4 linked regions of the Notamacropus eugenii genome follow. Each later gene encodes a partner of the first gene's protein in a complex. Links are inferred from orthologs where the notes say so. Each region holds a gene or a part of one and is shown in the gene's direction. Other genes may lie near its edges. The genes, in order: NGFR, ARHGDIA, RIPK2 and TRADD.

The links.
Region 2: the proteins of NGFR (region 1) and ARHGDIA are in contact, whole or in part, in an NMR structure (PDB 8X8T), measured with the Homo sapiens proteins. The link is inferred for Notamacropus eugenii from reciprocal best matches to the Homo sapiens genes NGFR and ARHGDIA. Residues at the interface, in NP_002498.1 of Homo sapiens: Arg274, Trp275, Ser277, Cys278, Lys279, Gln280, Lys282, Gln283, Gly284, Ala285, Ser287, Arg288, Pro289, Val290, Asn291, Gln292, Thr293, Pro294, Pro295, Pro296, Glu299, Lys300, Leu301, Ile307, Ser308, Val309, Gln312, Ser313, Asp316, Gln317; in NP_001172006.1 of Homo sapiens: Ala8, Glu9, Leu11, Ala12, Gln13, Ile14, Ala15, Ala16, Glu17, Asn18, Glu19, Glu20, Asp21, Glu22, Val25, Pro30, Ala31, Gln32, Lys33, Ile35, Gln36, Glu37, Ile38, Gln39, Glu40, Leu41, Asp42, Lys43, Asp44, Asp45.
Region 3: the proteins of NGFR (region 1) and RIPK2 are in contact, whole or in part, in an NMR structure (PDB 2N83), measured with the Homo sapiens proteins. The link is inferred for Notamacropus eugenii from reciprocal best matches to the Homo sapiens genes NGFR and RIPK2. Residues at the interface, in NP_002498.1 of Homo sapiens: Gly334, Leu335, Ser338, Leu339, Pro340, Lys343, Val347, Ser354, Ala355, Asp357, Arg360, His361, Gly364, Glu365, Tyr368, Pro370, Ile373, Asp374, Leu398, Asp399, Leu401, Leu402, Arg406, Arg407, Ile408, Gln409, Arg410, Ala411, Asp412, Val414; in NP_003812.1 of Homo sapiens: Gln437, Ser465, Arg466, Asp467, Leu468, Met470, Glu472, Asp495, Ile496, Gln497, Gly498, Glu499, Glu500, Lys503, Ile523, Leu524, Val526, Ser527, Arg528, Ser529, Pro530, Ser531, Leu532, Asn533, Leu534, Gln536.
Region 4: the proteins of NGFR (region 1) and TRADD are in contact, whole or in part, in an NMR structure (PDB 7CSQ), measured with the Homo sapiens proteins. The link is inferred for Notamacropus eugenii from reciprocal best matches to the Homo sapiens genes NGFR and TRADD. Residues at the interface, in NP_002498.1 of Homo sapiens: Glu345, Glu346, Glu348, Lys349, Leu350, Asn352, Gly353, Ser354, Ala355, Glu379, Ala380, Cys381, Arg384, Glu420; in NP_001310481.1 of Homo sapiens: Thr201, Phe202, Asn211, Ala275, Glu276, Arg278, Arg279, Thr281, Gln283, Arg284, Glu287.

The regions. Positions count from the first base shown.
Region 1 is NC_092873.1:351,342,412-351,350,258, reverse strand, and holds the start of NGFR (tumor necrosis factor receptor superfamily member 16), read left to right. Parts: upstream 1-4,837; 5' UTR 4,838-4,972; coding exon 4,973-5,014; intron 5,015-7,847. UniProt on the Homo sapiens protein: Low affinity receptor which can bind to NGF, BDNF, NTF3, and NTF4. Forms a heterodimeric receptor with SORCS2 that binds the precursor forms of NGF, BDNF and NTF3 with high affinity, and has much lower affinity for mature NGF and BDNF.
Region 2 is NC_092873.1:325,952,466-325,960,083, reverse strand, and holds the start of ARHGDIA (rho GDP-dissociation inhibitor 1), read left to right. Parts: upstream 1-4,610; 5' UTR 4,611-4,714; intron 4,715-5,193; exon of another isoform or gene 5,194-5,278; intron 5,279-7,618. UniProt on the Homo sapiens protein: Controls Rho proteins homeostasis. Regulates the GDP/GTP exchange reaction of the Rho proteins by inhibiting the dissociation of GDP from them, and the subsequent binding of GTP to them.
Region 3 is NC_092875.1:164,404,448-164,412,422, reverse strand, and holds the start of RIPK2 (receptor-interacting serine/threonine-protein kinase 2), read left to right. Parts: upstream 1-4,963; 5' UTR 4,964-6,545; coding exon 6,546-6,724; intron 6,725-7,975.
Region 4 is NC_092872.1:694,973,623-694,980,973, reverse strand, and holds the start of TRADD (tumor necrosis factor receptor type 1-associated DEATH domain protein), read left to right. Parts: upstream 1-4,349; 5' UTR 4,350-4,451; coding exon 4,452-4,739; intron 4,740-5,649; coding exon 5,650-5,778; intron 5,779-5,846; exon of another isoform or gene 5,847-6,075; intron 6,076-6,117; exon of another isoform or gene 6,118-6,251; intron 6,252-7,351. Other genes in the region: FBXL8 (F-box/LRR-repeat protein 8), read right to left, coding at 1,716-1,934, 3,663-3,673. UniProt on the Homo sapiens protein: Adapter molecule for TNFRSF1A/TNFR1 that specifically associates with the cytoplasmic domain of activated TNFRSF1A/TNFR1 mediating its interaction with FADD.

The DNA.
Region 1 (7,847 bases):
ATTTTCCTAATTGTTTTCTCTGACTCAAGACTCTATGAACTCCATTTCTTGGTGTCTTCTCCATTGCGCCCTCCTTTTTTTGGTGTTAGTACAATATGGTCTCTCTAATCATTCAGTTTCTTTCTTCCTCATATCTTGAAAACTAACCCCCTAGTGCTTTAAAAATTGTGTCCCCTGACGTATATTTCTTCTGTATGAATATGATCTGGCCCAGATGTTCTTCCCATCATCATTAGTGACATTTCTACTTCCTTGTGGAATAGAGCCAATTAGTAACATATTCTACTTAATAGACTTTGGAGGCTAGAGAAGCAGCATTGTCCAATGCCCCCATTTTATGAATGAGGAAAGTGAGGTCCACTGAGACAAAGTTACACATCTAGTAAATGACAGTGTCAATCCAAATTCAGTGGTTCATTTGCCATCAATACTAAACAATATTTGTTAGAGAGATGCTGGCAAATATATTCCATATTTGAGGGGAGATAGAATCTATGGCCAGGGTACAGGAAGTGAACAGAATATAAACCAGACACAATGAGTCTGGGAGTGGTTGGAAGGAAAGAACTGATCTGTAATGGGATTGGAAGAGTCTGGGAAGGCTGCCTGGAGAAGGAAAGAGAAGAATCTGAGCTAGGTCTAGAAATGATGAAACTATGAAAATATTAAAACCAGATCTCCCTTTTCTATTATAAATAACATGCTACCTCTGGGTAAATCTATCTGTATCATTGAATATTTCCCTATACCTTAATTTCTACTTTGATGCTTTAGATGTGACTCTGGTCTCACAAAGCTGTGTTAGTGGACCATAAACTGATGGCAACTTTAAAAGGCTGGTATAAAACCAATGACAGAATGTGCCTGCTATCAATGGACCTAAGGAAATATGGAGACTCTCATCACCAAAAGCTGGTTTCCATGGAATGTAATTTTTTTGTATGAGCCAGTCTTGAAATCATTTCCTAAGGTGTGGATAAGTTGTGATCTGTATCAGTGGAGGAGGATCCCACACTCATGAAATCATAGATCCTTAAAGTATTGAACTATGCTACTTGAACAAAAATTTAGGGATCCTACCTCTGCTGTTAGACCGGGAGCTCCCGAAATAAATAGGTAACAAAATATATAAAGGGTCAATACAAATGAATTTGGTTTAGATCTGATCACAAGACTGGTGGTGCTAAAATCTAGCTTGTCATCTTGACTCTGTCACTAGTTATATGACTTTGTATTCCTGGGCCTCAGTTTCCTCATTCATAAAATTAGGACCTTGGATTAGATGATGCCTAAGATCCCTTTCCAGTTCTCAAAGTCTATGAGTAATTTCCACTACAAGAGAATTCCACCAGTATGGATTATAGTCCCTTGATAATTTATAGTATTAGTTGCCCAAGATTCTTAGAGCTTAAGTGATTTGCCCACAGTCACACAGATAATAATTCTCAAAGGCAGAATTTGAACTCTCATCTTCTTTATTCTTAGTCCAGCACTCTATTTACTGTGGCAAGCTGTCTTTCCCATATAATACTCCTAATAATAATATCTATAAAAATTATGTTACTGCTTAAATGAGCACTGTTATCCAAACTATTAATAATAATAAAATAATAATAAAAATTACCTCCTATTGTTATTAACAATAAACAATCTTTCAGTAGAACACATTAAGGTTATATTCAATTACACATGACTCTCTCCATGACTCCACTGGAAATACCTTTGAGGAATGGAGGTTTGCTAGACTGCCTCTAACTACTTGTGTGACCTTAGGTCCTTGAATTCCCTTTTCTTATCATGGGAAAACTTCCCCAGGCAGAATGGGCCAAGGAGAACAATTTGTTCCAACGACCATGAAGAGGACTGAAGGAGGCACTGCGGAGCACTTAAGAGCTTGGTCAGACATTGAAGACTCCAAGGTTATCCATTGCATCTTGGGGTCAGAAACATCTTGACTTTTGTCTTGCAACTCAACTTTGGTGACTGGAAAAGAGTGAGGATGATGATTTTGTGCAACTCTGCTTCACTTAAATCCAATTCACTTGCAAGTCAAGACATCACCCCATGATGTCCTTTTTGAAAACAAAGAATGGGACAACAACATCACAGGCCCTCATCTGTAAAATTAAGATGTTGGACCAGATGACCTCCAAGGTCCCTTCAAGCTTTAAATCCATGATTCTGTGCTCTTATGAACAGCAGTAATATGTGTTATGATGTCATATTATATTGTGTTATTAATTAGTATGCATTATTTCTTTCCATGAAGTCTGCACTCAACCTACACTCACCTACTTGCTATTTCACACAGAGGACACTTCATCTCCCAGCTCCATGCCTTTGCATCTGCTGTACCCCATTTCTGGAATGTAATTCTTCCTCACCTCCACCTCTTGGAATCCCTGGTCACCTTCAAGATTTAGCTCAAACGCCACTTTCTACATGAAACCTTTCCTAACTCTGCCCCTAGTTGCTATGACCCTCTCTCTCCATATCATCTTGTATTCATTTTGTTTCTTTTCTATAAATACTTATATATGTTCATGATCTCTTCCCCTTTAGCAGGTAAGCTCCTTGAAAGCAGGAATTCTTTCACTCTTGTTTTTGTATCCCCAGTGCTGAATAAACTTCCTGACACTCAGTAGGCATTTAATAAATACTTGTTGATTGTGAAAATCAGTATTAAAATTAATGTTATACTGTCAATATGGTTGATGACACTGTTGATATTAGCTATTGGGTCAGTATGAATGTCGTACTCTCACACTACTGCTAGATGGCATAGTGGATAGAGTGTGGGCCCTGGAGTCAGAGTTCAAATCCAACATCAGACACTTACTAGTTGTGTGACCTTGGGCAAGTCACTTAACCCTGTTTGCCTCAGTTTCCTTATCTTAAAATGAACTGGAGAAGGAAAAGGCAAGCCATTCCAGTATTCCCAAATGGTGTTACAAAGTCAGACATGACTAAACAACAACATTCCCTATCCTTCATAACTTCCCATATACTTCATCCACTGACAGGAACAACATACCCATAAGAGTAACACAAGGGGGAACAGCTGCATCTGTTAGAAATAAGAAAGAAGGAGTAGAATTTTCCTTCCCTTTTTTAAACCCATGAAGGGCTTCCTTAAGAAGGTTTATCTATTCTATCCTCCAACCTTTGGCTCAGAGAATCAAGCCCATTAATAAGTGGAATATTTTTGGGGGGGAACAACGATAAACAGAAAAAGTTTAATCCTCCCATCAATAAATTTGGTGCTTGGAAAAGCCAGTGAAACTAATTCTTGTTTCCACTGATCTTTCCCCAGGGATTCTGAGTTCCTTTCATCATGTGACGATGTGCTTGGAATCAGAAAAATGGATTCAAACTCTGCTTCTGACACAAGTTGTGTGACCATAGGCAGGTTGCTTAACCTAAGTCTCAGTTTTACTCATTCAAAAAGTGGGAATAATTATACCCATAGTACCTACCTCAAGCAAAGGGTGGGTAAGATTGCTAATGTCATTTTGTGTAGGCAGAAATTGAAATGAAAGCATGTGAGGGGGATAAGAAGAGGGGGGGTAATTCTCCCCTTTAAGAAGGCAAGACTAGTCCCACAAGTAATAAACTAGCACAGTAACAAGTGTCAAAAGCACAAAGGAACCAAGACTTCTTGTCCTTTGAAACCCCAACTGAAAAGGGAATGTGAGTCCTATTAGCTGTGCAACAACTGGCAAGTTGTTTTGCCTCTCTGGATCTCAGCTTCCTCCTCTGTAAAATGGTCAGACTAGGTCCCATGCTGCTCTTAGATTCTAGCTTCTGTGAGTCACTGGTGAAGAGCTGGTCCTCATGTTGTCCTACTGGTTCCCTAGCTTGGCCCCACCTTTATCACAAGGGCTTAAAAAGGCTGGAAAGGGCAAGAGGAGAGGAGCCTCAATACCTGTTAATGTCCTAGGGCCAGATTGGTGTAGCTCAGGGGTGTAAATGCCTACTTGGTGATTCCTGGTTCTCACCTGTGTGTCACTGAATGTGTATAGTTTGAGGGAGGGACAAAGGCAATGTCTGATCGCTAGACTTCTGGAACCGACCCAGCTGTGAGCAAAGACAGAATTCAGTCAATCATTGGGATCCACTCCATCCCTATATCCATTCTTCTCCCTCAGAATTCAGATGACCGACTACATCCTGGAAGGGAGACTGAGGAAGGGAGGGCAAGAGATTTCCACTTGCCTTCTTCCAGAAAGGCCTTTGCATAGAGAGAGAACGGAGCTTTTGCCTGGGCCAGGAGGTAGATAAGTGACTGCCCAGGAGGTGGGGAGGAAGAGACCTCGAGTGGCGGGAGAAGGGGGGACGACTCTAATCATAGGTGGGGAGAGAGCAACAACAACAAAAATAAACAGAAAAGAGGTGAAAAACATCAGGTTGAGGACAGGCAGAGAGGAAAGGGCAGGGAGGGACTGTAGAGAAGTAGATACTGAGATACGAAACAAGGGGAGAGAATAGAGGATTGGCAGAGCGACAAGGAGACAGAACTGAAGCCAAGGGATGCAGGGTAGGAGAGAGATAGAGAGGCCCTGAAAACACAGCACAGGTTGGTGACGGGGAAAGAGGAAGCTCGGGACAGGGGATGGGTTGTAAAGGGCTGGGGTGGGAGTGGGAGGTGGGGAGAGTGATGGAGGAGCAGCTCGGCTTTATGGCCGGGTCTCCCCTGCACCCTCCCCTCCCCACTCCAGGCAGCGGGACTGAGGGGTGGCGGGGCGGGGCAGTCACTGTTCCGGACGGGTGGGCGGTATGGGCGGGGAGGGGGCGGGGCCGTAGCCCTGGCTCTCCCGAGTACCTCCTGCCAGCAGTCAGAGGGAGCGGAGCCTCGGCTGGCTCCTGGCGAGTGCAGAAGCAGGACCAGAAGGACTGAGCTAAGGAAGCTGGGTGGGGGAGGGAGGGAGGTGCCACCAGGCACCCAAGGGTGGTCTTGTCCACCTACCCAGCCATGGAAGGGTCGTTCCGCTTGCTGCTGCTGTTGCTCTTGGGGGTGAGTTCAAATGGGAGGTGTCCTCTCTTCGGACGCACTGGGGCTGGAAGGGCGAGCAGAGCCCGCGGATACTAGAGGGGAGGACGCTAGGAGGGAGAACTTGAATTCCAGGGCCACTGTGCGCTGGAATAGTGTGGGAGAGACTCGGACCGACGCCTCGGTCTTTCCGAGGAACCTTGGAAGAACATTGATGCCTGAAGGGACTGGGATGCCTGTCTCTTAGAGAAGCGCGTGTTTGGAGGAAGGGGGCAACTCAGATGCCTGGGTTCTCCGGAAGCGGAGGGAGGTGTTGAGGTTCAGCTAGTCAAGAAGGGGACTCGGGCGCTTTGGTCCCTGGAGTGGGGTCATGAAGGGAGAGAGATAGGAGAGGTGCTCCGACTCTTCGGTCCCTGGAAGGAGTAGGTTGGCTAAGGTAGAGGGTATTCCGACGCCTGGATCACCTAGAGGAGCTTCGGTTGGACCAACGAAGCAAGGGAGCGGTGGAGAAGGGGATGGGGTGGGTGGGGTAACTGAGCATCGGGACAGACGGAATGGGGGAGCAGGCTCCAGCGATAAGCTTCAGTAGAGGCAGTGGGGAACGGGAATTGGGGGCTGAGGGCAGGCAGAAGGTATCGAGGGTGGGACATCCGACAATAGGGACAGGGCAGGACAATGAGGGGAGGGGAGGGGGATGCGCTAATGAACGAAACCGGATGCCTACAGAGAAGGGGCGTTGGAGGCGCAGATAAGCAAGAAGGGGGTTCATGAAAAGAGTGATGGAGCAGGGGAGGGCAAGGAGGAAAGGAAAGCCGAAAAGTGGGGGCAGAGAACAGAGAAGGGGGCTGAAGGAGCAATGAAATGGGTAGGACCAGAAGGCTGAAGGTGAGATCAGAAACTAAGAGCATGGGAGCTAGTCAGGACAATTTTCCTCTATGACATACCTAGCTCGGAGATTGCAGATGGAGAGGGGATTGGGGCCCGAGTTCTCCGTTCTCTTAGGGCATCACCGGTCACTCTTCTCGAAATCCTTCCAACTCTCTTCTCCCACTCCCATTTGGCGTGAGCTTCCCAGAGCCCTTCCTGGTGGTGGGCTAGGGGGTAACGTCCACAAGCTGGTTTTAAGCAGAAAGAGAGGCAAAGAAAGGGGATTCCTTGACCTGTTGTCCGGGTGCCCAGTAAAGGACAGAGAAACTGAATTGTCCCACGCACCAAATAAGGTGGGTTCCCTGGGGGGATACAAGCTAAATCTGGCTCCCGGGGTTTAATGAATAAAGTGCCGAACCCGGGAGGTCGGTGGCCAAGAGAGGGCGCTCAGGGGAGAGTGAAAATGGGGCAACCCCAGCCGCTGCAGTCCATTCTCGTTTCATCCCATCCCATTCATTCCCTAAAAAATTAGTCCTGCTCTGCTCGGTGTAGCCAGTCTACAAATCCTACAACTTTGTCCCGCACACTTCTGTTCCACGCTATCTGAACTAGCTCCGCCTTCCCCTAACGGGCTCCGCTGCCTGCTGCGGGAAAGATTTAACAGTCTCAGGAGTCTACTCTGCTCCTAATCTTGGGAGTTGGTGGGGGCGGAGGGAAAGCTTGGCATTCTACCGGGCAAAGCCCTGGTCCCTGGGGGATAGAAAAGAAGCCGGGAGAGAAACAGAAGAGAGAGAAGACCAACTGGGCTGACGACTGGATTTCTGGGTCCGAGGCGTCCTCTCTAAGAGTAGAGAAATCGGACCTAGGGATGTCTGGCTTCTGAAAAGCTAGCCAGGGACTGGGGATGGGGTGGGATGTCAGGATCTTCTGGATCCCTCTCTTGCTGAGTCATGGGGAGAGCTGTCTGAGGTGAAGGTCAGCGTGTCCCCCACAAAGGGGCCCCAGTCCAGCAATTATTGGAACTATGGAGCGGGACAGTCAGATTAGTCTGTATTCCTAGGTGCCCACTCTGAATCAGGCTCTGATAGCTCTAAATCAGGCACAGGGGCTGAGAGAAAGGCAGGTGAGGATTTCTTCTCAGACTCTACAAGAAAGCACCTTCAATTGGCCTGGTCCCCGAAACTACACTCGCAGGGTTACCTTCTTGCAAAATTGACCCTATGGGGTGGGTGTGGCCAAATCACGAAAGGCTTTGAATGCCTGAGACCACACTTTCCCTGGGGCCTCCCAAAGCACTTTGTTTTGTATGGCTCAGATGGCATTGATCTTGAGGCTGAAGTGCTGGAAGGGGGGAGCGGGAGTGAATCGTCTGAGGGAGGTGGTGGTAAGTGTCATCGGGGTGACTGAGGAATACCCCCCCCCCCCCCCCCCCCCCCGAGAATGGCCAGATCTGACCTAGGTGTGGGGCTGAGGTAGGATCAGGGCTGAACTACCACCAGGCACTCCCAATGACCACTCCTTCTTCGGCTATCTAGCTGTAGGCTTTAACCAGAAATGGAGTTCTTAAGCTTTTTGGGTGTGTTGTGAATGCTTTTCACAATCTGGTGAAGCCCATGGACCCCTTCTTAGAATCACCTTCTTAAAAAACTGAAGGAAATGCAAAATTTTTATTTGGAGGTTTTTTTTTCTCATTCAGGTCATGGTTTCCCTCCCCCAAATCTATCCCTAGGGGGTCCATCGGCTTCAGGTTAAGAACCTCTAGTTTAGAAGATTAACTTATCTTGTGAACAGAGGTTGAGAAAAATTGGGCCTATTTATCTCTCCTCTCTCTGGGGTTTATCTGGGCGTCTCTGGATGACAGATGTCTGGGGGAACTGGGTGGGCAGAGAAGAGTCCAGGAGAAGAATTTTTTGCTATAAAAGACCAATTATTTCCCAGATTTCTGAGACTAGAGGGGAGATATGAATCAGAAGCTAAAGGTCATGTCAGA
Region 2 (7,618 bases), about 25 Mb from region 1:
GCAACCTCTTAGAAAATTCTAACAGTTCTAAGTTATTACTGAATCTTGTTTTAAGTTTATTTCTATCAAAGGTGTGCTTGTGAAGGTTCTGTGTTTAGCATTCTCTTTATGTGTAGGAAATCAATACCAATCCCAAACCTGATTCATAAGGTACATTCGGTATTTTTCCTTTTGGGGAATTCCTAGACAGGAGGCTAAACCAAAATTTTAAATAATTCATCCCCAGGAGCATTAGGGTAAGGGTTTAATTATCCCAAAAATCTGAGAACAGGGAGTCTAGTCTTCCTCTCATTAGTCTGTCCAACTAACATTAACTGTCTATCATGTATCGAGCACTATGCTGAGCTAAGGATACAAATAAAGGCAAAACAACTAGTCCCTGCTCTCAAGGAGCTCACAGTTTAATGGAGGAGACAACATGTAAAAGATTTTGTACAAACTATATACAGGACACATTGGGGTGATCTCAGAATGAAAAGCTTAATGCAGAAGGTTTAACTTTAGCTGAGACTTGAGGGAAGCCAGGAAAGCTGGAAGTTAAGAGATGAGAAGGGAGAGGGTTCTAGCCAGTGAAAACCCTGAATCAGGATAGGGAGTGTCCTGTGAAAAGATCAATAAGGACATCAGTGTCACTCTATTGGAGAGTATTGGAGACTAAAGCGTAGGAAAACTGGAAAAGATAGGAGCCAGGTTATGAAGAGCTTTGAAAGCCAAACAAGATTTAATAGTTGATCCCAGAGGTAAGAGGGAGCCACTAGAGTTTATTAAAATTTTAGGGGGAGGAAAGTAGCCAGACATGCATTTTAGGAAGATCTATTTAATAGCTGAGTGGAAGACAGACTGGAGACAGGGAAACCAACCAAAGGCTACTGTAGAAATAGCCCATGTGTGATGTGATACAGGCTTGTACTAAGGTAGGTGCAAAGTTAGAGGAGAGAGAGGACCTATAGTTAAGATGTTATGAAGGTAGAAACAATAGTCAACATTTCTTAAGCATCTAGTATGTGCCATACATGTGCTAAGCTATGGGGGATACAAATATAGAAAAAGGCAACTCTTGCCCTCAAGGAGTTTCCCATCTAACAGGGGAAGACAACATACAAAAGAAAGCTGAAGGGGGTTTCAGAGAGGAGGTACCTGGCCCAGGGGCATGGTGAAAAGTCAAAGAAGACCAAAATGAATGCCATAGAATGGGAATGAAGAAATATCTGTGAGGTCTGACTTGTTCCTTTTCCTTAAATGGAGGAGTTTATACCTCCACCCTCCAATCAGAGGGGCAGAAGGTACTGATGAGGTATGAGTAGAAATGATTGAACTTAACTGTACTTGGGAAGACAGAAAGTGAGAAGCTGAGAATGACAGGTTGTATGCCTGGGAGAATGGTGGTCTTCTCAACAGGGAGTAAAGAAGTTTGGAAGATGGAGAAAGAAAATGGTGTGAAAGATAATGAGTTTGGTTTTGGACATGTTTTGTTTAAGATGTTTACTGGACACTCAGTTTGAGATGTCTAAAAGGCGAGTAAAGGTAAAAGCTGGAGTTCAGGGGAGAGGTTAGGACTGGACAAATAAGATCTGAAAGTCATCTGCATAGAGATGATAACTGAAATAATGGAAGTGAATGAGACTGATAAATGAAATAATATAGAGGGAGAAGAAGGGGGATAGCCATTGTTAGCAGGCATGACCTGGCTGAAGATCCAGCAAAAGAGACAAAGGAGTGGTCAGGCTTGTAGGAGAATCAGGAGAAAGCAATGTCAGAAAAACCAACAAATTAACAATATCAGAGGCTACAGAGAAGTAAAAAATGATGAAGACTGAGAAAAGGTGATTCGATTTGGCAATTAAGAGATCACTGGTAACTTTGGAGAAAGCAGTTTTGGTTGAATAATGAGTCAGAAGCCAGATTGCAGAAGGTTAAGGAAAGTGAGAGAAAAGGAAGTGGAGGCACTGGTTGTAGATTGCTTTTTCAAGTTTGGCCACAGAAATGAGGAGGGTTATATAGCTACCAAGGATGGACAGTACAAGTGGCGGGGTTTTTTTTAAGCTGGCAGAGACATGGGCATATTTATAGGTAATAGGGAAGTAGACAACAGACTGGGGGCAAATGAAGATTAATGAGAGGGGGCAATCTGCTGGAGAAGACTGGGTGGAATGGAATTAGCCCCAAAGGCAAGTGGGCTCAATTAGGAAAGATCCCTTGCTGCAGTTGAGATCATGCAACATAAACTTTTAGTGGACCTAGTTAGCAAAGTTTCTTGATTTTTCTCTGACTTCATTCAGTAATGCCTTTAGTAGGAACAAAGGCAGTGAGTGCTGGGAGTAATCCAAGGCTGGAATATGAGAAGACAAACTCCATAATCAGGGTTAATCAGCAAGGGACTGGAGAAGATAGGGTAAAGTTAAACTGGTTCCTAAGGAGGACTAGGTAGGGAAGGAAAGAGAGTATAAGTGCAAGGATGATGGTCAGGGAAAAAACTGAAGGTTTTGGAGGTCAAAATAAGAACAAAGAACAGAGCTTAGAATTGTAAGGCAGAGGGAGAGGTGGGATGAGAACACACTGATCAGATAAAGGGATTTCACAATTTATGAACATAGATATGAAACACTTGTGGATGATGACAAGATCAAAGGTATGACCATCTCTGTATGTAGCTCTGGTATAAACCTAACTATCCTCCCATTGACCTAGATCTGACTGTGTGTCTGGGTCAGGAGCAGAGGGACCCTTTAGTGGAGAAGAGTGAGGATAGTATCTGGTTCTTCAATGTCAGACTGGCATAAAAATAAAAGGAAACATTCAACTTTTTAAAAAAGTTCAATAAAATAATCACTGGTGAAATTGGAAGACAGATTGAAAGTCAAATTCTAGAACCACATTCATGTTTCAGAAGAATGCAAAGACAAAAATCTGAAAGATGACAGAAGAATAACACACAGACGCTAGTGTCTCTAGAATTTTAAGTAACATTCAACTTTTTGGTAGTCTTTAAATATGAATTAGAATTAAATTTAGCTTAAAAGTCACTGTCTACTCAGTTAATAAGCATTAAGCCCTTACTGGCAGACATTATGCTGTCCTAAATGCACCTGTCCTCTTATTATTAATATATTATAATTAATAATATTATTATTCTCTTATAGAGAAACCCTAGCGGGGTTATTTGGGTGCTTAAACACAGCGTGGAACATCTCCACAGCAAAGTGGAAGTCATCTGGTAAACTGTGGTATATAATATTTAGATGGGTTCCAGGGTGGGGAGGGGGACAGCCACAGCCAGGGCTCCTAGAAACCTGGCATCTTTAAGAACTCTGACATTTAGATTCACAGATCAAACATGATTTTAATGCACTTATATTCTAATTTACTACATATAGACAATGTACTTGTTTCAACTCCCCTACTATAACTGGAAGCTACTGTACCTTATTTCACCTTCATATCTTATCAAGTGCCTATCTAGTATGGAAATTTCGTCCACTCCATACAGGTAACTAGCATGTAACTTTTTGTCTTACAGTTGCCCGGTGGCACCGACAGGAGAAATCACTTTAGCCAGGACAGAACTTGAACCAAGGTGTTCCTAACTAGGCAGTTAGTTTTCTGTCCAGCATAAGAAGATGCCTCTGTATATAGCAGGGAGCTCATTAAATGTTCGCTAAATAAAATGATTCATCAGCTACTGACAGATAAGCTAGGTGATGAAATGGATAGGACCTTGGACACGGGAGTCCGGAGGACCAGAATGCAGTTCCAATCCTGCCCCAGACATTTACTAGTTGTTACTTTGTATAAATCACTTACACTCGCTCCGCCTGTTTCCTCACGTGTAAAATGGGGATGCTAAGAGCAGACCTCGCGGTACGTGAGCAGCAGATGTGATGATAAATGTGAAGTGCTCTGCAAGCTTCTGGGAGCTAGACGCTAGCTGTCATGGTCATTAAAGCGCTCTATAAGTATTACTAATAAAACGCTCTACAAATGCTATTATTATTATTATCATACAAGGCTAACTTAAGCGACTTTCCTCAACTGACGGAAAGGCGGGGGAGGGAAAGGGGAGGCTCCCGCGGGGGTGCCTGATTCGCAGACGCCTCCCCTGCCCTCCCCCCAACTGGAGGGCATCACATGCCTAGCTCGACTCTGGGGCATCCCCTGGTTTCCATGGAGACAGGGAAGGGAGTCTGGCCCTCCGGCCCAGCCGGATTCACCCCACGGGCTGTTCTCTGGGAACAGCACAGGCCTCAGGCCCGGCACCGGAAACCCTACCGGGCACGCACAGACACCCCCAAACCGGGGCCAACCGGGAATGCCTCAGAAGTCTCAGTCGCCGCCAACCTCGGCAAGATGGCCGGGCGCAGGCTACTCTCTTTCCTCCAGAGCATTTCTCTATGGTCCTGGCCCGCTTCAGCACCTTCCCTTCCCCCTCCCTCCCCGTGGGTGGGTGGGTGGGTGGGTGGAGGCTGAGGAAGGCCTCCTTCACCTCCTAGCGCCTCAGCCTACTGGGGGAAGGGACAAGTGGTGTGGGCGCTTGCGCAGACCCAGGCCGCCCGCCCGCCCGCTCGCTTGCTTGCTACCGCTTAGAGGCTGGCGAGCGGAAGTCGCGTGACCCCGGAAGCGACTGGAGGGGGCGCGCGGGCGGGGTGGAGCCGGCCCACTCGGTTCGTCGTTAGTGCGGGAGGGAGCGCGAGAGGCGGCGGACGCGTCGAACTCGTCGGTGAGTGAGTGACCGGGCTCCGGGGAGTCCACCCTTCATCCCGGAGCCGCTGCTGCTCTTCCGGACCTCCCCGGGAGGGCGGGACGAGGAAGGGAGAGCCGCCGCCACCGGCTGGAGGGGAGGGACGTCAGGGTGGAGCCGTCGCCGCGGCCGCTGCAGCCTCTGCTGCTGCCTTTGTTCTGCCGCCCCCAGCCTGGGCGCGACGTCTCCGCCCGGAGTCCGGGGTCTGGGGTGGAGGGCCTCGGGGAACTCTGTCCCCAGCCCCGCTGGGAGGCGGCGGCGGCGAAGGCTCTCTGCACCCAGGGACCAGGGGTATCCGCCCGGGCGGAGGCCGCGGGAGGGGCAGCGCAGCCGCCGGGAACGGGGGAGGTGACAGCTGCTCGGGGCTTCCTGCTGGCCCCCTGGCAAGGTGGGGGAGTACGGGAGGGGGAAGCTGCCCACCCATCCCCGCCCCTTCCTCAGCACATCCCTTCCGGCAGAGCCCCTTAGAGGGAAGAGGCTGAGATGAAGCCCAGGCAGGCAGAAAGAGCCAGGAGCTGGCCAGAGGCACAGATGGCGTCCAAGGTGAGCCGCGCCCACGTGGAGAGGAGAGGAGAGGAGAGGGGGCAGCCAGAGGCAGGGACAGGGAGGTCCAGGCTCGGAGGAGCAAGCCCCGGCTCCTGGCAGGCAGCAAGTGGGGCGAGGCGGCGTGCCGAGATTGACAGCCCTTGGAATGGAGGGAGCTCGAGGAGCCCGGGGGGTAAGCCAAAGAGGAAGTGACCCTGGAGGCCATGGAGACTTGGCCCTTGGGATCATGTTTAGAAATCAGTCTTTCCTTTCTGCGCCCCACATTTGGTCTTTTAAAAAAAATCCCCTTTTTTTCGGAGCCACCCACACTCTAACGGCATCCTAGTGAAACTGGCTGCACTATAGGGGGGAGGAAAAAAAAACCAGTAGATGTCAAAGAGCTCCTCCCATTCCTCTGAGCCCCTTGAGGGCAGGGGACTGCCTTTTCCCTCTCTTGGTATCCCCTGCGCTTAGCACCGTGCCATACCACTACTCTGGAGGGGGCCTTCACATGTTTATTGACTGATTGAAAAGAGCTTTGGCTCTCAGTTCCCTCATTTTTTTTAAAAGAGGTAGTTCGACTAGATCTGGGCTTTCTAAACCTTTTTTGTTTGTTTCATGAACCCCTTTGACAATCTGGTGAAACCTGCGGACCCCTTCCCAGAAGAAAGCTAAATTTCAGTTAGTGAAAATAAAAATGAATTTTTCTCCCCACTCAAATTCGTGCATTCCCCCCTCTCATCCCAGATTAAGGACCTTTGGATTAGATGGTTTCTTTGGTCCTTTTCTGCTTTAATACTTTATGAGTCTAAATACTGTCTGTGATTATATCTCCTGTTTCTAAGGAAATATACTACAGGTTGGATTCTTAATATTAAATAATTTCTGGACTGCTTGATTTCTTTTACCTTTGGTTCTAAATTTATGCCTCTAGGGATGTTGGGAACTGCTTAAAATTCATCCTGTTCCCATTCCTAAGCCTGTTTTCTGTGATTGCTTAATTTATCAATATTTAGGGAAATAGAGTTATGGGCTCTTATTCTGGGCCCTGAATCTCGGGGTTATTCTAGGAACTTCATTCTCTTCCCAAATTGTTCTCAGACTGAGGATGATGACCTAGGATCTAACCCTATTTGGGCTTCTGATTTTACATAAGAGCCACATCTCCTGTTACTTAGATGATTTCTGCAAATCCAAATGCAACATGAATGGATTGTGGTTTCATGGTGATGCTATTGAGGGATTGGGATGGAAGGGCAAGGAGAAATTTTAAATCAATAAGCATTTATTAAACAACTGTGAGGTGCCTCACATTGCTAGATACTGATGTTACAAAGACAAAAAAAGGAAACTTCTGCCTTTGAGGAGGAGCTTAAGGTTCAATCAGGGGAAACCAAATATGCACCTAAAAGTCTATATTGAATTACTTTATATAAGGTAAAGGTGGTATGAAAGGCCTCATGAGGGAGGGCTTGGAAGGGAGAGAGGCATTCTAAGAGGATCCACCACGCATGGAACAGCCTGTTCCAAAGCATTGAGGCAAGAATTGGAAAGTTGTATGTACAGGGAATAATAAATATCAAGTAGGTCAGTTTGACTTGGACCATAAATTGTTTGAAGGGAAGTAATATGTGATAAGTCTAGAAAGATGTGTTGAAGCCAGGTTGTAAAGGGCTTTAAATCTCCATACAAAAGAATGTTCAGTTTTATCCTAGTGGAAGTAGGGAGCCTCTGGACTTCTTGAAAAGGGTAGTGACAGGGGCAGGTTCTACTTTAAGAATATCCATTTAGCAGGTTTTTGGCTTCCTGGATGTAGAGCAGAGACTGGAGGCAAGGAGACCAATTAAGAGGCTATTCAGTTAATCAAGCAAGCATTTTGTAATTCCCTGTTATGTATCAGGCACTGTGGAATGCAAATAAAATAAATGAAATAATGCCTCTTCATAAGGTGGTTATGGTGTGGTGAACCCAGATACCTGATAGTTGAGGGATGGAAAACTTCGATGGAAATGGTGGTGCTTGAGCTGGGTCTCAAATAAAGAGGTTCTTTCAGTTGGAGGTAAGGAAGGATTGCATTCCAAGTATGAGGAACAGTCAGTGCAAACAAGGTATGCTGTACATGGGAGATGGAAGTGTCACTTATGAGGAACAGAGGAAAAAGGACAGTTTGGTTGGATCTCAGAGTTTGAGACAGGATATTATGTCTTACAAGGCTGAAAAGATATGATAGGGCCAGGTTGTGAAAAGCAGACAGAAAACCTTTAGTAATCCAGGCAAGAAATAGTGAAAGCTTGAACTACTCTGATGTACTGTTATGTGTAGAGAGAAGAGTATAGATGTGAGAGATGCCATAGAACT
Region 3 (7,975 bases), on another chromosome or scaffold:
AGCGACAGTTACAGCTATAGTTCTCTCCATGTTACCTCAGGTGCGTTCTAAGGGTCTGCTCTTCAGCTCAATTCTCAAATGCCAGGGCTAGCTCTCTCTTGGATATAGAGATGGCTTCCCTTTCTGCAGCCAGAAGTCCCTTTCCTCCTTAAAGATGCTTCCTTCTTAGAATAACTACCTCTCTCTATCTGCATGTCTAGTGTGTATAGAACCACTTCAAAGTGATATGATTAATGGGGGTTATGGAAGGGAGGGGTGAAAGGAAGGCAGAGGAGGAGGTGAAGAGATGTTCCCTCCTCCAGACCTCCTGGACTATGTCTGTCTGTCTCTCATTCTCTTGGAGGGATGGATGTAGGGATGGATGGATGGATGGAGAGAGAGAGAGAGAGAGAGAGAGAGAGAGAGAGAGAGAGAGAGAGAGAGAGAGAGAGAGAGAGAGAGAGGGAGAATCCCTTTACAGAAAGAATGCCTTTAGAAATATTTACACCATATAAATCATCTCCATTTCTTTAGGGTGTTTAATTATGATAAGGAATCAACGGCTCTATCTTGAATGACCTACCTCAATCTCTACATGGCATTTTGTTAACAATATGACTACATCTATGTTGCTATACAATATTACATAATCCATTGCAGGAAAAACAGTGTGGTTATTCATGTCCTATTATCCCAATAAGCATTATGCATCATCTGCTGTCATTATTCAGCACCCTATCGTGATTCACCACAACAAATCCTCCAGACTTTCTAGAGGACACACCTTCCCCAATCATATCAGACACACTTTTGACCCACATAATATGAGCCACAATTTTACGCTCCCCTCCAAGTTGGAACTTGCATAGATGTTGCTACAGAGAACTTGTCATGTGAAGCACAGGTTTCATACTGATTTGAGCTCTACATCCCTAATTTTTATTGGCACAAAACCATGCATAATTTTAAAGAGAGATTAATACAGGTTATAGCCTGACTTCTTAAAGGAAAAATTATTTAGTTTAATTTCAGGTACTCAATAAATATTGGCTGAATTGAAGGGACCAGTGGAATATGAACCAGCATAATGGCCTGGAGTAGCTTACTGTAGGGCTCTTGTCCTGTCTAATGTTATCAAACAGGAAGCATGCTCAATCCTCATTCTCCTTGACATCTCTGCAGCATTTGATACTGTTGACCGTCACCTGGCTAGCTCTCCTCTCCAGGTTTTCAGGACAATTTCTTGCTTCTCTTCCTAACTGACTGCTCCTTCTCAGTATCCTTTATTGGATATTAGCCACAACACAGCCTCCAACTGTAAGTACACCACAAAGCTCTATCCAATATTCTTTTCTCTTCTCTCATTTCATCACCGTTTCCAAAGATAGTAGACAGAAAAGTTCTGTCCCAGAATCACAGACTTCCACGCTCCCCAGGACATGCCTCTAGCTACAGTATGCTGCCTGCTCTTCCCCTGACATGGTCTGACCTGAGCAAAGTACAGCATGACCATACACCTCCTTATTATTCTTAGAAACTATATTGCTCTTAATGCAGTCCAAGATCATACTAGATTTTCTAGCTGTCACATTACATTATTACTGATATTTAGTCTATGGTCCACCAAAACCTCCACAACACAGATATTTTAACAGAGAGCAAACAGATCTATATGAGAAACCAAACTTCTGTTAGTTCAGTTTCTTTTTAAGATATACACAAGTATACATATAATATATAATTTAATAAGATAGCAAAACTCCTGTTTATGGCCCCTTCTGCCTTTTTTCCTTCTTCAAACTACTTCCTAAATATGCTTTCACAATCTTATATTTGTGAATTTGATTTTTTTAATTCTAGTGCAATACTTTATTTCTAGTAAATTTCATTTTGTGAAATTTGACCCCAAATTCTAGCCTTCTAAGATCTTTTTAGATTCTTTCTCTGTTATTCATTGTGTTAAGAATTCTTTCCAGTTCTATGATATGTGTAAATTCAATAAGCATGTCATCTATAGTTAATCTGAGTTAATGACAAAAAATGTTAAACAGTACAAAGCTAAGCTCAGATCCCTTGGTACTCCACAGGAGACTTCCTTCCAAATTAACAATAAACCTTTAATGACAGGCCATTTAACCAGCTATAAATCCATAGAATTATACTGTTGTCTATCTCATTATCTTGCCGTCTTTTCTACAAGAATAATATGAGTCAAGCTAAATGAAAGCTAAGAACACTAACACAAAATTAGATAACATTAAAAGAGGCATTACTTCTAGCCCAAGGAGGTAGAACTCTGATCTGGTAAGACCATATTGGGAGTATTGTGATCATTTGGGGGCACATTTTAAGAAGAATATGGATAAATTAAGAATATTCAAAAGAGGAAACCAGTATGGTAAAGGGCTTTAATTTTCTGACATATGAAAATCAGTTGAGAGACCTGAGATGTTTAATTTAGAGAAGAAAAGACGCAGGAGGGTCATGACAGGTGTCAAGAACTTGAAAGGTTATCAAGAAAGATTTTTTAAAAATTATTTTTCAGTGATACAGGGTAGAAAGGAAATAGATTTTTGTTCATTGAAAAAATAAAATTTAATAAAAAAGAAAAAAGACTTTCACGTAGAAAAGGAATTCAATGTGTTTTATTTGATCACAAAGAGCAGAACTAGTAGTAAGGGTTGGAATTTTCAAAGAGGCAAATTAAGGCATGACTTCAAGAAGAAACTTCCTTACTATTGGATCAATTTAAAAGATTAATGGAGAAGTAGATAGAGCTCCAGGTGGGAAATCTGGATGATTCATGTTCAAATCTGACCTCAGATACTTATGACCTGTGTGACCCCAGGAAAGTCACTTCACCTCTGTTTACCTCAGTTTCCTCATCTGTAAAATGGGGATAATAATAACACCTACCTCCCAGAGTTGTTGTGAGGATTAAATAAGACAAAAATTGCAAAGCACTTACTAAGGTGCCTGGCACATAGTAACTCCTATATAAATGTTAGCTCTCATTTTTTTTTTAATTTTAAAAGTGAAACAGATTGACTTGAAAAGTAATGGATTTTCTCCTCACAGGTAGTTCTTAGACAAAAGCTGAGTAGCCATTTATTGGGCAAAACGTAGGAGGCATTCTTTTAAAGGTTTGGACTGGACTAGATGTTTGGTGAAATTCCTTCAAACTCTGAGATTCTATATTAAATTTTATTAGATCTACAGTGAGAATTTTAGCAGCATATTAGATGATTAGTAGTCAAATCCTTCAGCAATCAGCAGAACACAATATACAAATATTTTGTCTTTGTTTTTGTCTTAACTCATGAGTTCATCAATGTAGAGAACTCTCAGCATGCAAAATCCATCTGTAAATACAAATCATGTATATATTTTAATCTTTGAGAATTTCCCGGGGCATCAAAGGTTAGTTTAAGTTACTTGTCTATAGTTACATAACAGATATGTGTCAGAGACAAGATTTAAATCCAAATCTTCTTAACTTCAAGGTCTCTATCCTTCCTGAGGCCATTAAGGACTAGACCATCACATTCTGCCTCTACCCTTAAGATTTCAAAAATAATACAGTAAACACTGAGCGACATCATGACCAATTAGAATTTAGGCTCGTTGAAGGCAAGAACTATATTTCTTTCTTTCATTCTTTGTATCCCCAGGACTTAGCACAGTGCCTAGAACATAACAAGATGAACAAATGCTTGATGCTAGACTTGTTGACATGGCCAAAGTACTGGAGCTAATTAATTAGATGTCTGAACTTCAAGGTAGTCTGAAGCATGTTCCTAAGAGCTCAAGAAGACCATCCTGGATTTCTCTATTCCTGTGGTCTATAAGCTTTCTGTGCATAGAGGCTCCCTGGCCACATGCCACCCTGTGTCCCCCTCCAAGCCTGTCTGCCTTTGTAGGACATGGAGATATTAATTCTGTAAGATGAAGGCTGTGTCCTGGATCTGGTGTAAAGTGAGGCACCTTAGATTTTCCTTTAGGGGCCTTCTCTTAAATATTTCAAATAAATAGGCTATTGTTTAGAGTTTTGCAAAAATAAAGATGAATTTGGGTAGACCTGAAAAGGTTTAGAAGTCCAATTACAGCTCATTTCCATAAATCCTACCTACTCGAGGAGTACATGGTGATCTAGGAAAATTAAATTACAGGCTGGGGTCATAAGTAGAATTCTTTTAGATCACCATCAGCAGTGGGATATCAAGTGTGTGATAAAGCACCATCTATCAAACTATTTCTCTAAAGCAAAGCTATCAGACTGGAAGTCTATAGGCCACAAGAGGCCTAGCTGAATGCCCATTTAAGCAAATCAAAATGCAATTGAGAAATGTTTTACAAAATTAAAAAAAAAAAATACAATCCAACACAGGTAATGTTAATTTGCCTTTTTCTAAGTCAATATATGATCCTCTCTTTTTTGAGTTTGGCACGGCTGCTCTAAAGGAAAACATTTTAAAGTAGAAGAGAAGTTTAAGATTTTTGTTATAATTTTATACTTGATGAAACCAATAATGGCTACTCAACCTTCAAGTAACAGTAGTAATATGAGGATGCCTACAGCAGACAGATATTCCACATCTACAAGTCTATTGTTTAGATGATTACCTCTGCTGTTGCTGCCACATTCATCCCACAGTGGGCTCAATAGCACCTGACGATTTTGTGCATGTCATTTTACTTCTCTGGACTATGGTTTCCCCATCAGCAAAACTGGAAATCTCACATAAAGCCTCTCTCTTCTCCCTAACTACCCCAATTCCTTCCATAAAAGAGGGACAAGTAACTCATTGCCAAAGCTTGGTTTGATAGAAATACAAGATTTGAGATCTGAGTTTCCTTCTAAAGAGACAAAGTTACAAAATCCTCATCAAAGGAATGTGGGCAAATGAGAAAAAAAACAAAACAATGAGAAATTTAGTCCATCTTTTCTGTAAAAAAAAAAAAAAAATTAACTGGTCAGATTTTTTTTTTTTCCCTCAAAGGGAGGTTGCCTGGTGTAATGATTCAGGTACCCAATTTTTTCAAAGCCAAAAGACCAGAATTCAAATCCCTGACATTTATTGACACTCTGTGACCTTGGATAAGTCACTTTAACTCTCTGGGACTCAGTTTCCTCACCTCCAAGTGAAGTTGGATTATACAACCTCAGAAATCCTTTCCAGTTCTAAATCTAGACACCTACAAAAGCTGGAGCCCTGAGCAAATTCAGAGAAATGTCTTCCTTCCTTCCTTCTTTTCCATTTATCCTACTTTTATATGCTGATAGGGGAATAAAGATGAAGAGAAGGAAGAAAAGATTCGAGGGGAAGAATTAAAAGAGTAAAATGTCTTTATAATATATTATGATAGGTTTCTTTCCCTGCAGCTCCTATATCGATGGAGCAATGGGAAAGACAGTGTAGGACAAGCAATACCTGATTTCTGGGACTGGGACTTTATTATTCTCCAACACGTGGCGCCCTCCAAAAAGGTCAGAATTTATTATTTTATAAACCCTTCCAAAAACAACGTTTTCCAGTGTTTCTCACCAAGGTCTTCCATCCAGTTCAGCTGGCACTTTCTCCCCTAGCCGCCCCACCAATTCCCCCACCTCAGACTTGGCTCTCCAGTTTGGCAATTTCCGAGTTGTACGTGCAGTCTGGAATGAGAATGGAAGATCCCGCTGACCAAGCGGAAAAGAACCGGCCGGGCACACTTAGGGGTTTTCCCAAAAAGAAAGTGTGGCTTTTCCTGAAGCCAAGGGAGAGTAGAAGGAAAAAACAAAAAAAACAAAAGAGGAGTTTCCTGATCGATCGCCTCGCTTCTTTAAAACTCTAGAGCGAAACTTTTCCCCCACAGCCCATACAACGTGCGCAGCATCCCCACAGTCCTTTCAGAGGAGGAGGCGTCTTCCCAGGGTGGAGACCTGGAGGCTGGCTTCTTACGCTGAGAGGGCTGGCACGGAGCCTGAGATCTCGGAGGCACAGGGGGTGAGGGACTGAATCGGGTGATCCCGGCGCGGGAGGAGCCGGGAGGGGAAGGAAGAGGAGTGTGCGCTGAGCGGCCAGTGCCAGGATCCAAGGCTGGAGACGCTTTTAAGCTGCTGACGTAGCCTGGCAAGCTTGGGAAGGGAGGAGCAGCCGGAGCCGGACCCACACAGAGTTCGGGAGAATTCTTCAGTTTCCTCCAAGGCTGGGGGAGTAGGTCTCGGGTGGAGAGAAGCAGCACCCATTGAGACCGGAGCAGCTTCGGCGGGACTTTGCCCTCGCTTTCTGGGGAGCACCTTCGGGGCTGTGGGCGGCTCGAAGCACTGCAGAGGCTGTTTGGATTGCAGCCGGGGAGGGTTAGCGGAGTCGGGGAAAAGGGACTTTACTTTCTCAGGGTGCTAAAGGGGAGGGAGCCAGTCTCAGACCGCTGCCCTCCGGGGGGAGGGGAGAAGCACCAATGCCCGCGCTCCCGCAGCGGGAGGTGGGAGCGTAGTAGCGCTGCCAAAGCGGAACCGTCCCTCCAGAAACACCGGACTTTCGCTGGAAGAGTTGGGGCTGTCTCCTCCCGGTCTGGCTAGGAGGATGAACGGGGACAGCCTAGCCATCTCCAGCTCCTTGCCCACCATCCCTTACTACAAGCTCGCCGATCTGCACTTCCTGAGCCGGGGGGCATCAGGCACCGTGTACTCGGCTCGCCACTCCGACTGGCGCGTCCAGGTGGCAGTGAAGCAACTGCATTTCCAGTCCCCATTGCAGGAAAGGTAATGACCCTCACCATCGCGGCCCTTCCTCGGGGGCCACAGGTCTCCGCCACCTAAAGGTGCACTCCCACCACTCCGATCCTTCCCTATACCCTCTGTGGCTCGTGGATGTGGTCAGGTAACAGGCGCGCGCGCACATGCTCTCCTATGCAGGTGAGCGCCTCCCTGCTCCGCCGGGCACCTCCTCCTGAATCGGGCTGCCGTGTGATTTACAGGAGAAGCAGGTGGGAGAGGGGAGTGGGGAAAATCCAGCTCTTTTGTCCCTTTTCTTAGACCAGAATCAGATTTCAGCCCGTCTCCTAAATCCCAAACCCCACATCATTGCCACGCCATCCCTAAATGCACCTCCCTTTGCTTTGCTTTGGTTTTGTGTTTGGCCTTTATGGATATGCCATTTAAAATATATATAATTGTAAAGGTACAGTAAGGTTTTTGTTTTGTTTTTGATGGTTGTGCCTCTTGTTGATTGACTTTAAGAAATTTTAAATACCATAGCACATTAGACTTGAGTTATTCCTCCTAGTCCACTCTGGAATTGAAGTCACTGGAGGCTGGAGAACCTACCTCTCATTCTTATTGTATGTGGTAACTGGTGGGAGACTGTCTCTAATGGCCACTGGTCGATTTAAGGGAAATGGTTAAAGTTTGAGGAAACTCTCCTTTCGATTTCAGTTCCAGAAATATTAGCAACACAAGCCTTCAATTCTGTTTGTGCCAACTCTAGACATAGATGCTAGTCTGTGTGTACACTGTTCTTTCCTTTGTAACTTCACTGTACCCTACAGTCACTTTGCAGTGGTCTCACTTTCATGACCTAAACACTTTCTTCTCCCACAGAATCATAGAAGCCTAAACTTATAAGAGACATAAGCAAGTCAGCCTCTTAATTTTACAAGAGTAAAAAGGAGGATCCAGGGAAGTTAAGTGATTTGCCCAAGGTCTGATGGTGGCAGAAAACTCAGGGTTTTTATTTGTTTGTTTTACCTTCAAGGTTAAGGGACCTTTCTGCTACAAATGTATGTAGATTTGTAATATTAAACTACAGCCTAGTGAAAGACGTAGTATGTGTTTTCTTTCTAAATCCTCTTTTAAAATATTGCTCAGTCTCCGCCAGGTTCTACCTCTCAGGGCTGTCAAGATCCCCTCCCCTTGTTGCACTCCCCAACCCCCATTCCCACCTTATCTTCAACTATTAACATCTAAAAATGGGAAGTAGCCAGCTATTAAGGCTTCAGTAGCCCTCTTAGGCAG
Region 4 (7,351 bases), on another chromosome or scaffold:
GATCAAACAATGACCAATTCTTATTGCAGAGGACTGATAAGGAAGCATGCTACTCATTTTTTGGCAGAAGGTGACTGACTCAGGATGCAAAATAAAGAATACATTTCCTGACATGACCAATGAAGGAATGTGTTTTGCTTGACTACAAATATCTGTTACCAGGGTTTTGGTTTGCTTTTTTCTCCTTTTTCCATTGAGGGTGGAGTGAGAGGCTGAGGGGAGATAAGGATAGGAGGAGTAAAGAGAAAGAAAAGAAGGAAAGAAGGAAGGAAAATCCTAGTCTTGAGGCAACTTTTTTTTTAAATGAAAAGAAGAAAACAGAAGGAAGAGAAAGAAGGCCAAAGAAGCAGAACAGATTTTAAAAAACTAAAAAAGCTTGAACTTATTATATACATAAAAGAAGACCTGCACAATCTCCTTTTTCTGATTTACCATGCATACGCAAATGCCCATTCAATTTAGAATTTGTTAAGTTCAGAATAAATTTTTTAAAAAAATGTTAATTCAATGCTATTAACTGTTTGCCTGATTGGCTCTGAGCTCTTTCATATTTAGCTACATTTCAACAGCATGCAAACTCCTTGAAAGATAGAGACTCCTTCCTTCCTTCTTTTCTTACTTCCTTTCCCCTTCCTCCTTTTTCCTCCCTCCTTCCCCCTTTTTCCTCCCTTCTTCCCTTTCTTTTTTCCTTTCATTCTTTTCTTTCGAAGACTTGGCACATGGTAGGCATTTAATAACTACCTGTTGAATTGAAGCCAAGTGAATTAGCTAGGTTAGGCCTTGGACAACCAAAAAGCCACTGGGTAGGTGCCTGAAGCCGTTGCAGATTGGTTGGACCTGTTACTGTATGCTCCTTATCTACTGGCATAGTTTCCAGAATGTGAGGTTCGAGGACCAACAACTCCATGTAGCCAAATCAGTAAACCTCCCTGCAGGCCCCTTCCTTCCTACTTGGAGGCAGGACATAGGAGATGAGGAACCTTCTCTCCATCTCTGGTGTCTGAGCCTCCATGAGGCAGGGCTTTAGGGCAATGTCTGCGTTATTACAGTTTGCTGAATATTTACAATGTTATAAAACTTTTCAGTAGACCCTAGGGAACCGACTCACTTCCTCAGGGGTAAGAGTGGAAGCTGGCAGCTGTGTAAGCATGAGTCTATTAGCCAAGATCACTGGGAAGTGGGTGGAACTGATAACCTGGGCCAGCCACGCTCTCTCACATGTAATCATTAATGGGGAACAGTCACTCATTTGGAGTCAGTTATTCTAATTCTGCTGATAGTACTTACTGAAAGCTAAAGTGCCAGAACTGATCCTTTGCTATCAGTTTGAATTTTGCTCTATGGCTAAGGTGTCCTGGGACCTCAGTTAAATTAAATAATAATAATAGTAAATAACATTACTAGCATTTCTATAACTCTTTAGGGTTTGTAAAGCACTTTACAAATATTTCATTTAATCCTCATATCAACCCTATAAGGCAGGTGGTATTATTATTATTATACCCTTTTATAGATGATGAAACAGAGGCTAAAGTAAGGTTAAGGGACTTGTCCAGAGCCACACAGTAGCACAGGTCCAAGGCCAGATTCGAACTTCGATCTTCCTGATGGCAGGTTCAGTGCTTTCTCCACTGTGCCTGCCACCCAGGTACTTTTGGAGTTTAGAACTCTTGAAAGGAAGGGGCTCCTACTGTAGGTCCCTAAGGCTTCCTCACCTGATATCTGTGATGTACCACACAGAGCTTGAGTTGACAGCAGTGGCCCAAGCCTGGCAGACCTGGGAAACCGCATATCGGTCACGAAGGGGTAAGTATCGAAAGATCAATGAAAGCAATTCTTCAGGGAGGTATTTCCATGATTCAGCCATTGGGAAGGTGGTTGAGCTCCAAAGGATCCCTGTCTGCTGATCCTTCTGCAGAGTGACTGGAGCTGGTCTGAGGATAGAGACCAGGGCATGACTCAAAGGGAAAGAACCACCCACTCAGTGAACTCTCCCCCTGCTCCTACTCAATGCCTTGCATGGCTGGGGAAACTACCTTAGGGTGGGGGTTTCCATGAGAACATCAGCTTGGATCCCTACAAACAGACCTAGGTTTGGCCTAGTATCCTCAGGGACTTGTGTGATAACGTTCTTTAAAACCTCATTGTAGATTCCTTTAATTTTCAGCATATGCCTTCTCACAGGGCAATACATTCCACATGCTTACCCCTCTCAGTGTTAATATGGTCAATCTGTCTTTTGTTTTAAGATTATATTTATCCAGCAAACGTAAAAAATAAGACAGACTGGAAAGCAGCAGTTCTTAATCAGAGGTCCATAAATTTGATTTAAAAATTTTATAAACATTTCAATATAACTGGCTTCCTTTATAATTCTAAATATTTTATTTTATGCATTTAAAAACATTCTAAAGAGACTATAGGCTTCCACAGACTGCCCAAGGGTTGGATCATTACACAGAAAAAGTTAAGAACCTCTGGGACTTCTAAAATTCCTCCCAGCTATAATATTCTATGTACTGTGGTCTAACATTATAAGCTCTTTTCTATCTCTAACATTCTAGGTCCCTCCCCCCCCCCCTCAAATCTTCCCCACTTCCAAACCTCCCTATTACCATGGAGAGTACCATCCTTCTGTTCTCACTGTCCTTCAGGCTCACAACATACCAGTAGTTCTGGATTCTTCACTTCCTCTCACCCTCACCTTCTCTCATCTCATATCTAACTGTTGATTTCACTTTTGCAGCATTTCACAAACACACCCTTTGTCTCCTCTAACAGTAGCATGACTCTAATGAAGGTTCTCATCCCTTCATGCCTGGATTATTCCAATAGATCTGCCTGCCCTAAGTCTCTCTCTTATTCCTGTTCTTCCATTCCTAAAGCATAAGTCTGACCATGTCACACTCCGACTCAATAACTCCAGTGACTAGCACCACCAGAATAAAATACAAAAATCTGTTTAGCCTAGTTCCTTCTCCCCACCCTACCTTTCCAGCCTTTCTTACATTTTACACCCCTCTCCTACCTCCACATAATCTGTGATCCAGCCACACTGGTTTCCTAGCTGTTCCTCCAACCAGACACTCCGTCTTCTGATTTTTGACATTTTTTTTTTTTTGTCTCCCAGGTCTGGAGTGCTCTACCTCTTCATCTCTTCCTCCCAGCTTCCCTGGCTTTCTTCAGATCTCACCTTCTGTAGCAAACCTTTCTCAATCCCTCTTAATTCTAGTAATTAATTATTTCCCGTTTATCCTGTACACAGCTTGTTTGAATATATTTGCTTGTGATCTCCTGTATTGGATAAACACCTTGAGGGACTGTCTTTCTTTTTATCTCCAGTCCCCAGTACATAGTAGGTGCTTAATAAATGCTTATTGACTGGTCTCACATTCACTTAGCTCTGCCATTCACACTATGCCAAATTGTGTTCAATGCCCTTATTTTGGGGGCGGGGGGAGCTTAGAGAATAAAGTCGAATCCCTCTCCGATGCCTCCCCTCATCTTCCATTTCCATGCACACTGCCTATCATCAGGACAGTACTGAGTCTTTCCAAAGTAATGGCCCAGAAGGATGACTGCTTCCCTTCTTTCAGGTCATCCCTCCTGCAAGACACCTTTCCCCATCCCCCTTAACGCTGGTGCCTTTCTACCGAAATTACCTCCCATTCATCCCGCCTGTAGCTGGAGTGTACGTAGCTGTTTGAACTTTGTCTCCTCCGTTAGAATGTGCGCTCTTTGAAGGCAGGAATTTAGGGCAGTACCTAACACACACAGGATGCTTAATAAAAGCTTGTGAATTTGACTTCTCTTCCCTCACTCCGCCCTCCTCCGCCCCTTCCCCCGATACGCTCGATTGTTACAAAGATCACAATCAACTTTCTTCCTTCTGGCCCGGAATAAATTGTCTCTCGGCCTCGGAATCCAGGACACAGCCACAACCTGGGCCTGAGCGTCGCCGCCCTTTGGGCGGGTCCGTCACTTACTAACCGGACCGAGAGACTGGACCGTACCCGAGGCCGTGGCCTTCCGGCTTTTCCTTCAGCTCTGTGGGCCTTCTCAGGACTATATTTTGCCTGGAACTTCGAGAAGGGCGAACACTTGGCCCTACGCTGGAGAGCGGACCATTTCGAGGCCGGGGGCTCCTGGCCGGGCTCTGCGGAGCTCAGCAGCCCAGGGCCCGAACTCGGGGTGGGGCTTTGGGGACTTTTTCTCTGCCTCCACCTTCGCCCCAACGCCGACTCCCTTGCTCCCAGAGCCCCTGTAGAATCCAAGGAAGCCGGAGCTCACTCTCACGGCTACGGGATGACCCTGACAAGGTCTGCCAACGTTACCCCTTGAGTCTAGCTGCCATTTGGGATAACAGAGCCTCTTTTCCACTGACACCCACCAGCTTGGGGCAGTGAAGGAGTTAAATGGGTAGGGTTCTTGAGCCCCAAGTAGAGACGTGAATGGTTCATTCAAATCAGCTGGGGACCAGTAGCCAATCACCAGCCTGGGCGGGGCCGAACTCTGATAAAGCTGCGGAATGGAGGCTGGTCCTTCTACTCTGGGTGCCCTGGACATCAATCAGGTGTCTGCAGCCCTCTGTACCTCTCAGCTGTTCGCCTCTGAACCTACAAGCCATCAACCCTGTGGATTCCCTCTTTTGGGGGCAGGGGCCTCTATCAGTTGTTTCCGTTTCTGGGAGGAGAGCCAGGTCCTCCTTCACCTGTCGTTCTCCCAGTCCTATAGCCCAGGTTAGTGGTGGAGGTTAAAGTGTCCTAGAACAGATTGGCAGGTTGTAAGCTGGGTGAGGCCGGGCTCGGTGGCGGAGGAGACAGCCGGTCCTGGAAAGTCCCTCTCCTTCCACCCCCAGGTCTGGGAGTTTGAGGTAGTGGAAACCTTGGACTCAGTGTCAGAGAACCTGGTTCGAAATCCTGTCTCTGACACTGATTGTGTGTCTGTGGGCAAGTCACATCGCCACGTTTCCTCAGTTGTGGTGGTAATGATATTTGCGCGACCAATTCCAGTGCTTTTTCAGTTTTAAAGCTCTAGGGAAATGGAGACTGCCCCGGCTGCCACCAACCACCTCTCGAGATTTTCCTAACCGGCTCTGCCCTATACTATCATGGGTCCCCACGTCTTCTTTTCAAAGTTCAAAGTATGAGGCATAGGGTGGGGTGAGGTGAGGTTTTCGGAGGCCGGTTCTGTTTGAGCTATCCCAGGAAGTCTAGCCCACAGAAGCCAGGGACCTCTAAGTCTCCGTCACTCCCAAAAGGCAAATTGAACATGAATCCCCATCCTGTGGATCCCCTTTTCCTTCCCCCACGCCCGTAGGTAGGGGTCCTAATAGAAGACAAATAATAAACCACAGTTGTCCGGCTTTCCTCACAACAATCTTCATGGGCTAGCCAGAGTTAAGTGACATAGGGGATAGTGATTGGAGTCAGAAAGACCCGAGTTCAAATCCTGTCACAAATACGAACTAGCAGTGTGACCTTGGGCAAATTACTTAACCCGTCTCAGCCTCAGTTTCCGCATCCGTAAAATGGGAATAATAATAGCGCCTATTTCACAGAGCTGTTGAGTTCAAACGAGATAATACGTAAAGCCTTTTCTAAACCTGAAAACGTAATATAAATGGTAGCTATTACCCTTCTTTTGCAGAAGAGGAAAAAGACGGAGAGGGAAAGTGATTATCTAGGTGGCAGAGGTCGAGACTCCAACCGACACCTTCTGATTCCAAGCCCTGGGCTTTTCCCAGCACTTCACATGCCTCAACCTTCCTCAGACCCCGTGAGTATCACTCATACCTCCCAGTTGAGAAGTTCTTGCCAGCTAACCGCGATCAGGAGGTTTCTTACCTGCCCCAGTGCGCGGACCTCGGATCTCCAGCTGAAAGGGTTACTGGGATTCCTGAATTTCCAGGGCCAGCTAGACTGACTCAGGGATGGCTGACTCACAGGAGTTTAGGCTGGTCCATAGGCTTGGATCGGGCTGGGTCAGAGGAAGGACCGAGGCCCTTAGGCCTTTATACCCATCCACTACGTAGCTCCGGTGTTTACGCTTCTTAACTGCCCTGGCTGCTCGCCAGGGGCGGCCCACACGGCGAAGCTCGGGGGATCCCGGGACTGGGAGCCAGCTCTGCTCCTCCCCTTTTCCTTCCTCCTCCCCGCTCCCCCTCCCCTGGGGCTCTGCGCAAACCCGGAAGAACGGGTGGACAGAACCGGTGTCTGCGAGAGCCGGAGCAGCGGGGACCGGACGGCTTGGTTAGTGTCCGCGGGGAGCTTAGATGGGGAGAAGGCACGGCACGAGTTGGGGAGGGGTGGGATGGCCAGGGGCCAGTGGACCGAGGGCACTAGGGCGCAGGTCTGGGTTCCTCCTACCAGGTTTGGCCTGGTTAGAGCAGCCAGGCATAAGCGGGGTCCTGGGCTGGAGTGGGTATGGAGGGATGTGTGCATCGGTTCCGGGAGGGAATCGGACTAAGAGATCTAGCGGATTCAGACCAGCTCTCTAGGCCTCCAGCTGGCTAGCCTGGGCTGTCCCGGGCCAGGGCCCGGCCCCACGTGGGAGATGTTCCGAGCCTCAGGAGTCTCTGCTCGGAGTACGGTTTCGTGGGACAGCTCGAATTTCTGAGGCACTTATAAAGTTTGCAAAGAGCATATCTCAGGACAACTTTGAGTGCAAGTGTTCATTTCCCTTCCTTGCACATGGGGAAAGTGAGGCCCTGGGAAGTTAAGGGTTTTAAGAGTGGGTTTTACACTTGGTAAAAATCGAGCCCTACTCACAATTTCCAAGCCTAGCTCTTGCCAAGCACTAGGCCAAGCTGAAAATCTGAAGGTCGGAAATGAGCTGGGTCCGGCTCAGCCCCGCCCCACTCCCATCCTTCCCCCTTTGGATTTAGGGACTAGGGCCCATCCCCCACCCTCCCTTCCTACTTCTCGAACTCAGCAGCTCTGCCTGTCCAGTCCCTGAACGGTGGGTGTAAAAAAAGTCTGGAAGATAGACCTCTTAGTTAGGGGCAGAGGGAAGAAACCTTGGGCACAAGCCCAGGAGGGGACTGGAGACCACTAGCATGGATGGGGGGAGGGGGAATTAAGTTGGCTGGCATAGAGCCAAGGCACAGGAGAAGAAAGGAAGGAAGGAGATGTCTTAACCAACATTGAAGGGCTTACTGTATGCCGTGTACTGGGCTGGGACAAGGTCAATAAAACGTAACAGAATCACAGAATTTCAGAGTAGAGAGGGACCTTGGGGGTCAACTTGAGAATTGAGAATTCTTTCTACAGTGTCCCTAACAAGACATCATCTGGTTTTCATTTGAAGCTGTCTAAAGGGAAACTCACTCCCCATGCCACTTTAGAAAGAT